Cricetulus griseus: one gene and its partners. The protein of the gene in region 1 interacts with the protein of each later gene in a biochemical or structural test. Links are inferred from orthologs where the notes say so. Each region holds a gene or a part of one and is shown in the gene's direction. Other genes may lie near its edges.

The links.
Region 2: the proteins of Ube2n (region 1) and Aurka form a complex in vitro, tested with the Homo sapiens proteins (3 studies listed by BioGRID, with this or other methods). The link is inferred for Cricetulus griseus from reciprocal best matches to the Homo sapiens genes UBE2N and AURKA.
Region 3: the proteins of Ube2n (region 1) and E3 ubiquitin-protein ligase ZNRF1 form a complex in vitro, tested with the Homo sapiens proteins (3 studies listed by BioGRID, with this or other methods). The link is inferred for Cricetulus griseus from reciprocal best matches to the Homo sapiens genes UBE2N and ZNRF1.
Region 4: the proteins of Ube2n (region 1) and Rnf8 form a complex in vitro, tested with the Homo sapiens proteins (7 studies listed by BioGRID). The link is inferred for Cricetulus griseus from reciprocal best matches to the Homo sapiens genes UBE2N and RNF8.

What each region holds. Positions count from the first base shown.
Region 1 is NW_023276806.1:161,500,566-161,505,210, forward strand, and holds the start of Ube2n (ubiquitin-conjugating enzyme E2 N), read left to right. Parts: upstream 1-1,642; 5' UTR 1,643-1,800; coding exon 1,801-1,830; intron 1,831-4,645. UniProt on the Homo sapiens protein: The UBE2V1-UBE2N and UBE2V2-UBE2N heterodimers catalyze the synthesis of non-canonical 'Lys-63'-linked polyubiquitin chains. This type of polyubiquitination does not lead to protein degradation by the proteasome.
Region 2 is NC_048599.1:6,985,708-6,989,665, forward strand, and holds part of Aurka (aurora kinase A), read left to right. Parts: intron 1-3,348; coding exon 3,349-3,523; intron 3,524-3,622; coding exon 3,623-3,808; 3' UTR 3,809-3,958. UniProt on the Homo sapiens protein: Mitotic serine/threonine kinase that contributes to the regulation of cell cycle progression.
Region 3 is NC_048596.1:188,041,663-188,045,620, forward strand, and holds part of E3 ubiquitin-protein ligase ZNRF1, read left to right. Parts: intron 1-1,726; coding exon 1,727-1,832; intron 1,833-3,882; coding exon 3,883-3,940; 3' UTR 3,941-3,958. UniProt on the Homo sapiens protein: E3 ubiquitin-protein ligase that plays a role in different processes including cell differentiation, receptor recycling or regulation of inflammation. Mediates the ubiquitination of AKT1 and GLUL, thereby playing a role in neuron cells differentiation.
Region 4 is NW_023276806.1:258,085,167-258,089,124, forward strand, and holds part of Rnf8 (E3 ubiquitin-protein ligase RNF8), read left to right. Parts: coding exon 1-686; intron 687-3,053; coding exon 3,054-3,116; intron 3,117-3,958. UniProt on the Homo sapiens protein: E3 ubiquitin-protein ligase that plays a key role in DNA damage signaling via 2 distinct roles: by mediating the 'Lys-63'-linked ubiquitination of histones H2A and H2AX and promoting the recruitment of DNA repair proteins at double-strand breaks (DSBs) sites, and by catalyzing 'Lys-48'-linked ubiquitination to remove target proteins from DNA damage sites.

The sequences.
Region 1 (4,645 bases):
CCTTAGAAAACGTTAACAGCATCTAAACAGCACGTTAAAATGGAAGCAGCAACAGCCCCTTAAGTCTCATGAAAGGAGCTGGAGAAACGGTTCTGCAGTAAAGAGCACTTGGTTCTCTGGCAGAGGACCCACCTGGAGGCTCACAACCATTCTTAAGTCCAGTTCTGTGGATCTGGCCCCTGAAGGCACCAAACCATGTATGTTAGTGTTGTTAACTTGATAGAATCTAGAAACACCTAGGGAAAAAAGCCTCTGGGCATGCCTGTGGGGGACTTAATTGATGTATGGACACCCATCTTAATTGTGGTTGTCACCTGGGCTGTATAAACAGAGAGGTAAGCACTAGCATGAAAAATTCGATGTGACCAGCTGTCCTTAACTATGGTGATTATCCCCTTTGAACTGAAATTAACCCCTTTTCCTTTAAGTTGCCTTGTGGAGTATTGTGGTGATATTTTATGATCTAATAAAGCTTGCTTGAAGATCAGAGTGCAAAGCTAGCCACAGCCATTCAGGCCAGACAGTTGGTGGCACACACCTTTAATCCCAGAAGACAGAGGCAGATGGATCTGCGTTCACCACCACCCTAGGAAAACCTGTAGGGAGGTGGAGAGAGAGGAATCATAAGGCAGAAGGAGACAGGAAAGCTTGGATTTAGAGGTTGGTGGAGAGCAATGCAGTCTGAGGACAAGGATCTCCCCTTCCTTCTGAGCTTTGGTAGAGGTGAGAACTCTCTAGTGGCTGGCCACTTTGTTTTTCTGATCTTCAGCCTTAACCTCAATATCTGTCTCTGAGTTTTTATTATCAATATCAACTATTATTCGTGCTACAGGATATTTTATCACAGCAACAGGAAAAGAAATGAAAACACCCAACAATCCCTTTTGGGACCCCTCCACTTTTAGGGCCTTCACTCTGAAGGTACTCCTACTCCTTTAGGGATTACTCCCCTACTTGTTGCAAATCCTTTTGGGGTGGGGGACAGGTCGGAGAGCCCCCCTCCCTTTTTTTGTTGATTGTTTGCTTATCAAGACAGGGCTTCTCTGTGTAACTTTGGAGCCTGTCCTGCAACTTGCTTTTTAGACCAGGCTGACCTCGAACTCAGAGATCCTCCCGCCTCCGCCTCCTAAGTGCTGGGATTAAAGGCGTGCGCCACACCGCCAGGCGAGGCCCCCCCCCTTTTTTTTTTATGTGAAATTAAAACATTTAGAATTATTTGTCAGGGCCTTGACAACCAGTTTCCCAGTTAGAAGCTTTGCCATCGAGTGCTTCTCGTTTGGAACAAGCCCCCCGATCACCAGGTCGACGGAGATGCGGCGCAGCGTCAGCCCGCCGCGCAATGCGGGAACATTGAATGAACAAATGGAACGAATGAATGAATGAGCTACGCCGGGGGCCGGGCCTTTGTTACGTCGCCCACCGGCGCAGGCGTGGTCGGTCGCACGTACGCTACTCGTGGACGCCGGACACCCAGTCTCGCGCAGATTCTGCCGCGGGCGAAGCAGCTCGGCGCTGCCTGGCGCCGCCTCCCCCAAGTCCCTGCCCCGCCGCGGAGCGTCACTTCCGCCACCCCCGGCTGGGGTTGGGGCGGGGAGTGCGGGGGAGGGGGCCATCAGGTCGGACGGAAGGCCGCCCGAAGCCCGCGTCCAAGCAGGGACTACATTTCCCGAGGGGCCTCGGCGGAGGCAGCGGCGGCGGGCGCGGCGACGTCCCCCGGAAGTGGAGTCCGGGACTTCCACTCGTGCGTGAGGCGAGCGGAGCCGGAGACAAGAGCAGAGGCCGAACTCGGGATCTGACAAGATGGCCGGGCTGCCCCGCAGGATCATTAAGGTAACCGCCCAGGCGGGCTTCGGGCCTCCCGCTCGGCTCTCCTCCACCAACGCGCCGGGCCGCGCGGCCATACGCTTCACTCGGCAGCCGCTGAGGGGCCCGAGGCATCGCGGAGAAGGGTCTGGCCTCGGCGGCGGGGAAGTCGGGCGCTGAGGAGGGGGCGCCGAGGAGACTTCCGGCCGCCGCTGAAAGCCGGACGCCGGGGGCTCTCGGGCTGCGAGGCCGCGCGCGGCACGGGAGGCCAGGCCGGTGCCGGTGCCGGGTGGAGGGCGGGGCTGCGGGCTTGGCGTCTGGCGCGGGACCGGCGCGGGCCTCGCCAGGCTTTCTTCACCCGCGGGCGGGAATCGCGGCGTGGCCTGGACTCCGGGCGTGGGTTGTGGCCTGGGCTGGCCGCTTCGCCCCGGAGCCCCCTTCTCCTGGTCGGCGGTCTCGGGTGCAGAATGAATGAACCGGCCCCGAGAACCGGGCGGGGCCGCGGGCCGCGAGTCCAGCCGCCGACCGCACATGTTCGTCCTGGCTGCCCGCGGTCGGCGGCGCCGGGGGCTTGGCGCCCGGGTGGGTGTCCTGCCCGCCGTGTTCGCTTCCCCGCGTTGCTGCCGGTTATCTCCGCGAAGTGATTTTACTCCGGTTGGCAAACTCTTTTTTCTTTTCTTTCTTTATTTTTTTGGCCAACTGTTTTCTGTTCCGAGGCACTGGTTCAGCCCAAAGCATCTCGGTTATGGGGATGATCTGTAATAGTTCGCCTCTGTTTTCGTGCGCCTTCCGTATACTAAGCGGTCTCGAGGCTCTTTAGGAATACTGTGTTTTGGTGAGTACGTATGGAACCATGAAAAAACTCGTATCTTGATTTTCTGAAGTCTTTACATAACAGCGTTGAGACTTCAGACACGATAGGCATCTGTTTTTATGAAGGATATTTAGTTAAAAAAAAAAAAACCCTACACTGCTCACCATGCCAGTGATATGCCCATATTGAAGCTTCGTTTTGCTTGCTGTAATCTAGTGAGCTTGAATTTACAGCACTGTTCACTCTTCTGAAGTTTTGGGCGAGATTTGTACTAATTATATCGAGGGCCCCTTTGAAGGATGTGATGCACTGTCTAGTCCCTCGGGCAGTCACAAATGGGTGTGAGGTTGGGTGTATGACAGAAAGGTGCTTAAATTAGAAAACAAGACCATTTATAAGACATTCTTAGGAAGAAAGAATAAATTGTCAACGAGCACTGTAGTCTTGACATAAACTTTTACTGCTATATTATGAATCTCAGATTCTTTCAAAGTAGATTTTAATTGTTAGGTCGTGCGTTGGAAAGTCCTGACTCGTTTAATTCTGATACAGAGACATGAACACTAGTGATCATGTTAATCAGGATTCCATTTGAAAAATGATTGCTTCCCACCAGACCACCGGGTTTTTATTGTTTGGTTAGGGACTAAACATACCACAGATTGATAATGAATATAATTCTCTAAAATTCACACTGAACCTAACAGTTGGTGTAGTTTTTTTTTTTTTTTTTGATTTTTGCTTGATTGTGAAGATTAATATTCTGCAGTAATACAAAAGTCTTGATTGGGAAAATAAATTCTGTGGAATATTGGCTATAAATTTACAGAAATGGTTTAAAGTAGGATGTTGAGGAGCTTGTTTAATTCATTTGGTACACAATGCTTAAGCATATATTCAGTGTTGCCATTTTGCTATTTTAAAACAAGGTAGTGGTAAACTCGTGCTGAGACATACAATCTTTACAGTATTTTATTGCACCCACCTCTAATTTATGTAATATTAATTGACTTCAGTACTTATAGCTTTAAAGGATTTTTTTTTTTTCCCCCATCAATAGGGCAGGTTAAGAGATTAGAATAATTTTTTTGTTTGTTTTCGAAGCAGGGTTTCTCTGTGTAGCTTTGGAGGTTGTACTGGAACTCACTCTGTAGACCAGGCTGGCCTGGAACTCCCAGAGATCCTCCTGCCTCTTCCTCCCCAGTGCTGGGATTAAAGGTGTGTGCCACTGACACCCCCTAGAATAATTTTTAGATCCATTTTTATATTATGTAGGTTCTATAATCAGTTAAAAATATGCTTTTTCTACTGTTAGGGATTGAATTGAAACTAGCTAGGACTTTGTATGTGCTCTGCAAATGCTTTACCACCAAGCAACACCTCAAGCAGAAAACGTATTTACATTAAAATTTATTTTGAAAAGTAACTTTTGGGCCAGAGAGTGCTCAGATATGGTGCTTGCAAGCTTTCTGAGTTCTACCCTTAATACTGCACACAAACCAGTTTTGGTATTGTATTTAAGTGTTACTTTTTTTTTTCCCCCCAAGACAGGGTTTCTCTTTGGAGCCTGTCCTGGCACTCGTCTGTAGACCAGGCTGGCCTGGAACTGACAGAGACCCACCTGCCTCTGCCTCCCGAGTGCTGGGATTAAAGATGTGTGCCACCACACTTGTCTGTCATGGTGTTTTATACTTATGATTCTAATGTAATAGAGGAAGGAGGGTTTAGAAGTTTATCATCCCTGGCTGCTTAGGGGGTTGAGGCCTGTCTAGAATATATGAGACTTTGTTTCAAACAGGTTAATACAATACTGGGGTCTATGTGACTAGAACAGTAAGTGGGTAAGGGTCGATGAAGCCATAGGGACATACTTTTTTCTATTGGATTATTTTATTTCTTGGTAGACTTTGGCTTTCAAAGGATAATATTTACTATTGCTAATAGTCTTTTTTTAAATTTTGAGACAATATTCCATGTAACTTGTGTTGGCCTCAAACTCAGATTTCCCTGCTGCTGCCTTCCCGTTCT
Region 2 (3,958 bases), on another chromosome or scaffold:
CTGGAGGAGAAGAAGGCTTAGCAGATAGAGGTGCTTGTTGCCGAGCCTGGTGATTGAGTTAAATTCTGGCACCATTTTGGCGGAAGGAGAGAACTGACTCCAGCCAAATTGTCCTCCTGTGGAAGGCTTCCTCACATAGGTGCACATACACCCCAATGCAAATAAATGTTGTTTAAAAAAATGTAAAGCCTGTTTTAAAAAGTAGCATCATTTAAGGTCACTTCTGTTTGTCTCCAGCTGCACTGTGGCAGGTTTTTTGAACTGATGACATCAGTGGGCGCTCCTGCCTACCAGTGAAACAAACACCAGAGAGCTATAGTGTGTGGGGCTGTGTGATTAGCCAGGACTGTGGTGACTCCAGTGTAAAGCCACAGCTTGCAGGTTTTAGGAGAGATAATAGGTATGAATCTTGACAGTTGCTCCAACTGCCTCTCAAACTCAGTCCCCAGCATAGTTGCCTGGTTATTGGGGACCACCTTTTGAGGATCCCAGAGTGGTTGTGGGGGCACAGACATGTCTGAGTGTGCCCCACACCATCTCAGCACCAGGGGCCTCCACTGTGCTCCCGGCTTGCTCCAGCTGTGGTCTTCAAAGCCCAAGTGGATAGAAAACGCTGGATTGGTGATGGCAGCAGAGTCCATTGCTCCATCCCAGAGCACTGGGCACTGTGGCTTTGGCTTCGTGGATAGTTAAAGTCAGTTGTAGATCAAGATGTTTTCAGTGTGCATTCCTTAAGACAGAGGCACTCTGCAGTCACTGCCGCTAATGTTAGCTGAATTCTTAGATTTCTTAAGCTAAGAATTTTAGCTTAAGAATTTTATGGCTACTTTTAAATCAGAACACACACACACAAACACACACACACACCTACCTCTACCTCTCCCTCTCCCTCTGTTGAAAGTGTGAGAGAGAAATTTAACTGAGCCCAGTGTGCTGGTGTACACTTTAATCTCAGGAACTGACAGGCTGAGAGAGGAGGGGACCTCAAGTTGGAGTCAGTCTGGATAGACTGTCTTGAAAACAATTCAGCCAGGTGTGGTGGCAACACCTACAATCCCAGAAGCAGCTAGAAGGCTGGGGCCAGGGGGCCTTGGAGGTCAGTCTGGGCTCATGTAGCAAAATGCTTTTTAAAAAATTTTTAAATTTTTAAAAAATGGAGAGGTGGCTTAGCACTGGCTGCTCTTGCAGAGGACCTGGGTTCAGTTCCTAGTACCCATGTGGTGGCTCACAATTGTAACTCCAGTTCTAGGAGATGCAATGCCCTTTCTGGGTCTCCTTGGACACAACATTTATGTGCATAGACAGATAGGCAAAACACATGTAAAATAAAAATGAAATCTTTAAACTCCCTAACCTAAAACAGCCGAAGGGTTAAAGATCCCAGTGAAATTGATGCAGTATGGACTGCCTCCCGCAGCTTGTAGCCCCTTACATTTCATTATTATCTTTTATTTTAGAGGCACTCATATTTAAATATCCATCCCCCCATTCCCTCACCCTCCCGCCCTCCCTTGTTCCCTTGGGGGAGGGCCTAAGCCCTCCTTGCTGTATCTGGGCTGCAATAGTCTCCCTCCATAGGGAATGGGCTCCCAAAGTCCATTTGTGCTCTAGGGTTAAAGACTGGCTCCACTGTCAGAGGTCTCATAGACTGCCCTGGCCTCCTAGCTGGCGCCCACATTCAGAGTGCTTGGTTTGGTCCAATGCTGTTTCCCCAGCTTTATGACGAGGGTCTCCATGCTCTCACTAGGTCAGGTCAACTGTTTCTCCAGCAGTCTTGGCTCCTTTGCTCATCCCTCCTCCCTTTCTGCAAAAGGATTCCAGGAGTATTGTTCAGTGCTTAGCTGTGGGTGCCTGTTTCTGCTTCGAACAGCTACTGGATGAAGGCTCTAGGAATAGTATCCAGGGTAGACATCATTCTCATTATAGGGGAAGGGCATCAATGGCATCCTCTCCACCACTGCCTGGATTCTTAGTTGGGGTCATCCCTGTGGATCCCCTAACATTTCCCCTGCGCCAGACCTCTCTCCACACGTGCACTGTCTCCCTCTATGAAGGCCTCTCCTTTCTTGCCCTCCTCTGTTCCTCCCCTGTCTCAGGCCTCTTGTTCTCCTCCCCACTCTCTTTCTTCTCTTCCCACCTCCTTTCTCCCCCCACTCCAACTTTGCTCAGGGGTTCTTGTCCACCTCCCCTTCTTCAAGGAACTATGCAATCTTCTCTTGGGGTCCTCCTCGTTTCCTAGCTCCTCTGGCAGTATGGATTGTAGACTGGTAATCCTTTGATGTCTAAAAATCACATATGAGTAATACAATGTTTGTCTTTTTTGTGACTGGGTTACCTCACTCAGGATGGTTTCTTCTAGTTCCATCCATTTTCCTGCAAATTTCAAGATTCCATTGTTTTTTTTCTTCTCAATAGTTCTCCATTGTGTAAATGTACCACATTTTCTCTATCCTTTCTTCAGTTGAGGGACATCTAGGTTGCTTCCCGGTTTTGGCTATTTCAAATAATGCTGCTATGAACATAGTTGAACAGATGTCCTTATTGTATGAATGTGCATTCTTTGGGTATATGCCCAAGAGTGGAATTGCTGGATCTTGAGGTAGACTGATTCCCATTTTCCTGAGACCACCATACTGATTTCCAAAATGTTGTACAAGTTTGCACTCCCACCAGCAGTGGAGAAGTGTTCCCCTTTCTCCACATCCTCTCCAGCATAAACTGTCATTAGTGTTATGATTTAGCCATTCTGACAGGAGTAAGATGGTGTCTCAGAGTGGTTTTGAGTTGCATTTCCCTGATGGCCAAGGATGTTGAGCTCTTCCAGCCATTTTAGATTCCTCTGTTAACGATTCCTCTCTAGGGCATATACCCAAAGAATGCACCGTCTAAAATGACCCCTTGTATTTCCAAGACTTTCCTTTTCTATCCCCGCTTCACTGAGACAATCTCACACTAGCCCAGGTTGGCTTTGAGCCTGTCAGTCCTCTTGCCTCATCCTACCGGATGTTGGAATTACAGGTGTGACCTGAGAGCTCATGCGGACTCCAAAGAATGTTTACAGAGAACACTGCATAGCAACTTCGTCATTGTTTTCTGGGATGGGTCTTGCTTCAAAGCCCAGCCTGGCTTTGGGATGAGAGAAGAACATTGTTTTCTTTAGATTTCCTAAGAGGTCCTGGGGTTGGTCTGGGGGAGGCGTGGTGGCTAGCGTGTGACCTTACACACTCCCTGCCATCCATTCCCTACAAGTGGGGATGCAGGTGAGCACCTGTGTGACAGCAGTTCCTGGGTCTGGGGTGCTCACACCACGTGATCATGTATGTCAGAGTGCGTCAACCTTGGTTTCAGGAGAACCACACTGTGTGGCACCCTGGACTACCTGCCGCCCGAGATGATTGAAGGCCGGATGCATGATGAGAAGGTGGACCTCTGGAGCCTGGGTGTCCTGTGCTATGAGTTCCTGGTTGGGATGCCTCCTTTCGAGGCACACACCCACCAGGAGACCTACAGAAGGATATCACGGGTAAGGCGCTGCTCCTCAGTCCCTGCCCTGCCGAGGGCTGCTGTTGACTGGTGCACACCTCTGACTCTTGTTAGTGTCATTTTGTCATTTATTTTGCAGGTTGAGTTCACATTCCCTGACTTTGTGACTGAGGGAGCCAGGGACCTCATTTCAAGACTGTTAAAGCACAACTCAAGTCAGAGGCTAACACTAGCAGAAGTCCTTGAGCATCCCTGGGTCAAAGCTAATTCCTCAAAACCTTCGGCTGGCCAAAAAAGCAAAGAGCTAACTAGTACATCATCTTAGGGAATCTGGAACCCTGGCCTCTGTGCAGCTGTGAGAAACGCCCCATCAAGAGAGACCTGGGGACCATCATCGTTGCCCTCAGAACACCCTGCGGAGCAGCCAGTCCCTGGCCGTGCATCCAGGAGGTCCCACCTGACCATGCGACATTGC
Region 3 (3,958 bases), on another chromosome or scaffold:
CTGTCTTACCTTTTGAACACATTCTCAAGTAAAATGCAAATTCTAGTTGTCTTAGTCACTGTTCTATTGCTATGTAGACTCCATGACCACAGCAACTCTTACAAAGTAAAACATTTAATTGGAGCTGGCTTACAGTTTCAAGGGTTTAATATTAATACATTATCATGGTGGCAAGAAGCATGGCAGCATGCAGGCAGACATGATGCTGGAGAGATAGCGGAACAGCTATCTGAAACAGCAGGAAGAAAGAGGCACTGAGCCTGACTTGAGCATTTGAAACCCCAAAGCTCATCCCTAGTGACACACTTCCTTCAGTAAGGCCATTATCTCCTAATCCCTGTCAGGGCACACCACTTGCTAGTGACCAAGCATTCAAATATATGAGCCTATGAGGGCCATTCCTATTCAAACCACCTCATCAGTGAACTTTTTAAAATTTATTTTCGTTTGTTTGATTGGTTTGTTGTTGTTGTTGAGACAGGGTTTCAATGTATAGCCCTGGCTGTCCTGGAACTCACTCTGTAGGCCAGACTGGCCTCCTAAGTGCTGGAATTAAAGGCATATGCCACCACTGCCCAACTGAATATATTTTATGGGTTCTTAATAGTTTTCTTTCCACCAAAATAATTAGGACTCAAACAACAGTGAGAAGAGAGGTCACCACAACAAAGGACCCCAATCCTGGACCATTCTCAAGTCCCCTGACATATGTTTTCTCTGGGTTTCCTCATTCACAAGATGAACATGACACTGTGTCCCATGCCTAGCTTGGAAGATCCTGCAGCTCAAAGGAAAACATAGACACAGAGTATCATTATGTATTACTATTACCTTTTGGGACTGATGCCCCATGGGGTGGAAAGTGATCTAAGCTCGCCTTCCTGAACAGCCATAGCCTGCTCATTTGGTGTTGTGTTATGGTTTGGGGGGACTTGGGTGTGATCCATGTCACCTCTGCATTATCAGGCCTGTCTGTGGCTTTATTGGAGTTTAGTGTAAACTTTCTCCTTGGACAGTCTCTTTAGTCTGTTCTCTGTACATGTTGCCCCACATCTAATCTGAACCCCACATCTAGACTAAAGGATACTTACAGCCTTGTGGAGATACTCAATAGTCACCTCTGGATTCATCACTCTCTATTCTTCCCTTTTCCTGTGAAGTCTCTTAATGGCATATGCAGGCTATTGCCTGACCCTTGTTAGCACATGTGCTGTTGCTCCATGCTCAGAGTTGGCCTCCAGAGTGAGCTCCCTTTTCCACCTCTAGTGCCTCCTGGCTAAGCAAAAGAGATGAGGTTCAGCATAGCACAGCACAGCACAGCACAATTCTGCCCTTGGGACTTGATTTCACCCCTGCCTAGGACTCTTTGAGTCTCTTTGCAACCTGTCTTAGCAAACTTCTTGAAGTTCCTGGGTGTCTGACAGTTTCCTTTGTCTGGAATGTAATCCCTCCCACCCCAGACTATGCCTTTGGCTCATATTACTGTGAACTTCTCCAAAGATGTCCTTGAACAGTCTGAGTAAGCACTGTTTTCTTCCATACCCCTGATGCTTGGGCTTCTGGGTCAGAAGGCTCTTCTAATGATTGCGTATTCCTCCCATTGCTGTGTTCCCTAGCACATGAAGCATAGTGGTTTAGATAATACAAGTAGTTCTAGACCTGTGTTTGCTCTGTGCCACCCACCCGCTGGAGATTAACCCTGTTGGTCTCCTTGTCTCTCTTACAGATGATGTGCTGACTAAAGATGCGGGTGAGTGTGTGATCTGCCTGGAAGAGCTGCTTCAGGGGGACACGATAGCCAGGCTGCCTTGCCTGTGCATCTATCACAAAAGGTACAAGGGGTAGATTGCCTTCACCAGCCATCCAGTCCTCTTTGGTTATGGGATGGCCTGTATACCCTTTACTCTCTGATAGGAGTCAGGCATCTTCCATGCTGGTGGGAGGCTCAGTCATTGCAAGGGCAGGGGGGAGGTGAATTGCCCAAGGTTCAGCTCTGCTTCAGCAGTTCAGATGGTAGAGCCATGGGCAGACCTAATTTAGATCCCACCTCTGAACCCTATCTGGCAGAGAGAGAGGTAGCAAGGGTAGAATGGCTATTCTTGCTGATCTGCACAACACCCTCCTCCCCCAAGGGCCAGGAGGCAGGAAAAGCCACTACCTGTAAGTACCAAAAACTGCTATAATTAGCCAGGTCAAGATTTGTCCTTTGCCTTCAGCAGTATCCTTCTGGGGTTTTTGTTTGTTTGTTTGATTTTCTAACTGGAAAAATGACACCTCCTTGCCCAGGACAGGAGTACACCCTGTGTTCCTGTGGCTACCATCTGCTTCTCCAGCCCACAGTTTCCTAGTATGGGGGCTTTTCTAAGCCCAACCTATGACTATTGGTCTTTGGTGTCATAGCTGTGCCTGGTGTGTGATTGACTTACGGGGGAACTGTGGTTCTTGTTTTGGTTACCACCATAGATCCCTGTATCATCCCAAAGGGGCACTAACCAGAACCAGGAAGACATAAGCAAATTATCTGTTTGGTTACTCTCTTTAAAAATGCCCAGATGTGGGTTTACACATCAGGACAGTTTCTTGAGGCACTTGCTGTTTCTTCTTTGATGCAGACAGACCTCTATAAACTCTAGAGAGTGAGGCCTTCCTACACTGCTTCCCAGGCTTCCTTATTTAGCAGTGTCAAAGAGCCCAAGGGTCTAGCTCCCCTTCCTACTGTTGTAGCTAAGCTAGGAAGGCTTGGAGCTCCTGAGAGGGGTGCCCTCATCGCCCCAGATCTGGCCATGCTTATCGCTGCCAGCCTCTCATCTGGTCCCACTTCCTGCCGCTCCTTAGAAACAGGTAACAGGCTACCATATGTAGTCCACCTGCTTTCACCTTCTTAGTGTTAACTGTTGCTGTCCTGGCTTCTTGTACTTGGGATTTGGGCCACTCTTGTCCTTTCTGCAAAGTCAGATCTACCAGAGCCTGCCCTACTGCCCCTGCCTCCTGCTGAGCCAGGATCATTCTTGGATTTTTTTTTTTTCTTCTTAAAAAACTTATTTATTTGATTTATTAAGGCAGGGTCTCACTATGTAGATTAGGCTGGCCTTGAACTTACAGAGATCACCTGCTTTTGCCTCCTGAATACTGGGGTTAAAGTTGTGTACCACCATCATACTCACCTTATTTTATTTGATGTGCATATACTTACATGATGTGTGTGCCTGGTGCCCACTGAGACCAGAAGAGGGCATTGAATCCCCAGGAGCTAGAGTTAAAGATGTTTGTGAGCCACTATGTGAGTGCTAAGAACTGAACCTTGCTCTTCTGAAAGAGCAGCTAGGGCTCTTAACCACTGAGCTATCTCCCCAACCCCCAGGGTCGTGTGTGTATGTGTGTGTGTGTGTGTGTGTGTGTGTGTGTGTGTGTGTGTTAGTGTTATAATGTGTGTGTGTGTGTTATAATATGTGTGTGTGTTATAGTGTGTGTGTGTGTGTGTGTGTGTGTGTGTGTGTGTGTGTGTGTGTATTAGTTTTAAATTGTGTGTATGTGTGCGCATCTGTGTGTACATGCATCTGAGTGCAGGATCCTACCAAGGCCAGAGGAGTCAGATCCCCCTGGGGTTGCCTTTATGGGGCTGTGAACTGAACTTGGATCATCTGGAAGAGCAGTGTGCACTCTCAATCACTGACCCTACTCTCCAGCTCCACCTCCACCCCTGTACATTCATCATTCTTGATATTGTTCCCTTTCCTGCAGCAACGAGTAATGATTTTCCCCCGGGGTCCTTTCAGGAGAGATTTAGAAAGTCCGTCCCGAGAGTCTAACCCCTTGACAGGCGCCCTTGGCAGGAGCAGTGTTGTCAGCAGCTGATGTGTCTCCCCTTGGTACCCACTCCAGCTGCATAGACTCCTGGTTTGAAGTGAACAGATCTTGTCCAGAGCATCCTGCTGACTGACCCTGCTGGGCTGGCTTG
Region 4 (3,958 bases), about 97 Mb from region 1:
GCATCCAAAAGGGAGACCATATTCAGCTTGGAGTGCCACTGGAAAATAAGGAGAATGCGGAGTATGAATATGAAGTTATTGAAGAAGACTGGGAGAGGCTGTCTCCCTGCCTTGCCTTAAAGAATGACCAGACAGGGGGGAAATATAAAGACTTGAGAACTAAAAGGAAGTTCAATTTGGATGGATTAGAACATCCCGCTGCTGAAGGCCCCTCAGATCTCAAGTGCAAAGTAACTGCAGCCTCTTGTGATGCCGCTGAGCCAGTGAAGTTACTTGGGAAAGGTGAAGCAGCAAGTCAGCCCTTGGGATGTTTGTGTCCTAAGTTGACTTGTCTTGAGGCAAGTGACGAGGCCACTGGGACTCATGCTTGCCCTACTCTTCCAAAGGTCATCGAACGCTACCCTAAGAAGCAGAAGGCCTCCCACCCCTCAGCGTCTCAGAGCAGCCTTGAGCTGTTTAAGGTGAACATGTCCAGGATTCTGAAGCTGAAAACCCAGATGCACGAGAAGCAGATGGCTGTCCTGAGCGTGAGGAGGCAGACCCGAAAGGGGAGCTCGAAGAAGATCGTGAGGATGGAGAAGGAGCTGCAGGATTTACAGTCTCAGCTTTATTCGGAGCAGGCTCAGCAGCAAGCCCGAGTGGAGCAGCTGGAGAAGACCTTCCAGGAAGAGGAGCATCACCTCCAGGTACCACAGAGATGTAGCAGGCAGAGGTCCCCTCAGCTGGGCAGGCGCGTTGTGAACTTCTGGCTAGAGTTGTCTCTGAAGCAGGGACCAGATGCTAAACTTTGGAGACAGAGTGGGAGCAGAAAGCCAAGACAGAGTTTTGCAAAGGTTTACAGTTTCAGCACACAGATGAGGTCAGGAGCCAGTTAGGGTACCAAGATGAGGAAGGTGGCTCAGAAGCCAGCTGGGATGTGACTGATCTCTGATGGAAAGCTGAGGTGTTTCAGATCCAAGATAAATTCAGGGAAAAGCTGGATAAAGAGCAGGATACCACGAAACCGTAATGTCCTCAGGACTCATTGCTTTGCTCTATGTAGTTAAAACCAAGTCACAGACCAGAGCAAGTGCAGATCAGCTCATTGTACTGTCCTTGTACATGGCAGCTTGTTGGCTGTAAGACTGACTAGCTAACAGGGGTGGGGTGAGGAGATGTTGCTCTTGGTTTCTTTCGTCTAGTCCCTCAACCGATTTGCCCCAAAATAAACACACAGATGTTATATTAATTATAAAACTGTTGGCCAATGGCTAGGGCTTCTTATTGGCTAGCGATGTCTTAATTACTAACCCATTTCTATTAATCTAAGTATTTCCACGTGGTCTTATCTTACCAGAGAAGGGTCCGGACCTCTTAACTCCTTTGGTGATTACATGTGATCTCCTAGTGGGATTTCTCTGCCTACCTTTCCCAGAATTCTCCTTGTCTCCTAGTCCCGCCCATCTCCCTGCCTCTATTGGCCACAATGTTTTATTCATCAACCAATAAGAGAAAACATATCCAGAAGGACATCCTCCATCAGGGGGATGATGGTTTTGTTCCTATTTTGGTCAGTCAGAATGCCATGGAAAGGTACACAATCGGCTGAGTGATAAGATGTATCTGAGTGGTTCGGAGAAAGGACCACGAATGTGCTCATCTCCAAATAATCCTGTCCCTGTTTAAAATGTCACTTCCTGTGTGGCAGGAGCCTTATCAGTTGTTTAGGTAATGGTGAGTGTCAATTCCCTACTGCCGACTTAGAACCAAGAAGGATCAGTACAGCTGAGGTGAAAGGTGTTTTTATCCTGCTTGGGTCTCTCTGGGCAAGGAACAGCCTGTAATAGTGTGAGCTTATTTCTGGAGAATTTATAAATTTCATTCTAATCTCTGCCATCCCCTTGAACTGGTCGGATTAGCTAAAGCCATTGGCTATATAGGTGTGTTCAGGTCATGTGTGGTGGACGTGCTTGGCTTCTGTTTCCCTGTCTGCTTTGTGCCTAGAGTTAACATGCGTGGCGTGGCTACACTGTGGGCTAAAGATACAGCTTCGAAGTCTTTTTTTTTTTTTTTTTTTTTTTTGGAGCAGACGGATAAAGACGGGGAGACTGGTTTAGCGATTTTTTTTTTTTTTTTTTTGCCTGACTTCGAGAAGCAAATTGGGTTCTTTGTGTCAGCTGCATCTCCCTCTGCCCTGGGTGTAGCCTGGCCTGTCACCATTCCAGAAGCTGTTGCCCCCTGCTTCATGCTTGGTGTTTGGAGCACCATATTGCCTGACACTCTATTTGGAATTCTGCTTGGTATTAAAATGCTTAGTTTTTTTGTTTTTTGTTTTTTGTTTTTTTAGGTGGTTTTTTGAGGTAGGATTGCTCTGTGACTTTGGAGGCTGTCTTGGAACTCGCTCTTTGTAGACCAGGCTGGTCTCGAACTCACAGAGACCCGCCTGCCTCTGCTCCCGACTTAGTGTTGTTTTTAATCGTTGTAATTTATCTTGTTGAGACAATATATGCGGTAACATTGGAAAAATGGTTTTCAGGGTGGTGCATTAAATTATGAACGATTCAAAATCTCCCACCCTGTAGGTAATCCCTAAGGCAGAGAGAACACAGGCTGTGTGGAAGAAGCTGGCCACAGATGAGTGGCAGTTTGAATGGCTGCAGAGGAAAGTTGACAGAGGTTCAGGCTAGGGCAGAGAGAAAGTGGCTTGTGGAGTGTGGTCAGTGTGGAGAGACAGAGCATGGAAACGTGGTGGGTGCCGGCCTGGGGGGTTGCACTTGTGGCTCAGTTTTAGCCATTTGAGTATCATGGCATTAGGTAATAGAAGAAGCTTAAACTGTCACCCAGTGGTCTTCAAGGCCACTCGGCTGGTGGCTTGAAGGTGACATCCCTGAGCATGCAGTGCTTGAGCAAGTAACACTGTTCAGAGCCTTTGCTGACAACAGCTTGAAGGAAAATGGGGATTTTTCTGTCGCTCCCTGCCCCATGCTGTTCCTTGTCACATCTGCTTCTTGCAGGATTTTGTTCCCTTTCCCTGTCGACTGCAGGGAAACCTTCATCTTGTTTTGGCTTTTCAGGGTTTGGAGAAAGAGCAAGGAGAAGAGGACCTGAAGCAGCAGCTGGTCCAGGCTCTGCAGGAGGTAACCTAAATCTCTCCCATTTCCAGAGGCTGTGGTAGTTGGCGAGTGGGGAATGGCAGGCATCACTGGCCACTAGCTGCCTCCACCTCTTAACCTACTGCTCTGTGATCTCCAGCCTGCAAACAGAACAGGTAGCAGATGCTCTCACCATCAGCTTGGAGACTTGTAGCCTCACAGATACACACCAGATCTCAGCATGGAAACACAGGTCTTCTTCATCAAGCAGGAGCCACTCTGGTGATGACGGAACACCCTGTAGAAACTGGGGAGCTCTCTGGAATAGTGAGGACAACTGAGGGGAGGGGAGATGTTAGCTAAGGTCTGGGCCTGAGGGCCTTTGTACCTCACTATCCCTGCACTGTGGCATCCAGAAACCATTCAAGAGTGTTCCAGTCGAGCATTTTAGGTCAGTTTGAGAATGTCAGTCTAAAGCAAAAAACATCCACTTGACAAAATAGTGACACAGCATCAAGTCCCCTAGAAGACTGCTTGTAATTTGTTGTTGGACACTGTGGCTGCTTTTGTATGGCTACCTCTTATGTGCTGTTGTGTATCTTTAAAACTTGCTTCAGCTGGACGTAGTGGCACACACCTTTAATCCCAGCACTTGGAAGCAGAAGCAGGGGAATATTTATGAGTGTGAGTTCAAGGTCAGCCTAATCTACAGATCGAGACCCTGTCTCAAAAACAGACAACAGCAACAACAACAACAAAAACGCTTGCTTCATCTTTGAGCTTTGATTATGATGAGTAGTTTGCTGCAAGTTTAACCGAAAGGTTCACGACATGATGGTTAACCCTCCTTGAGCACACTGAGCATCAGCTTTGCGAACAGACTTGCT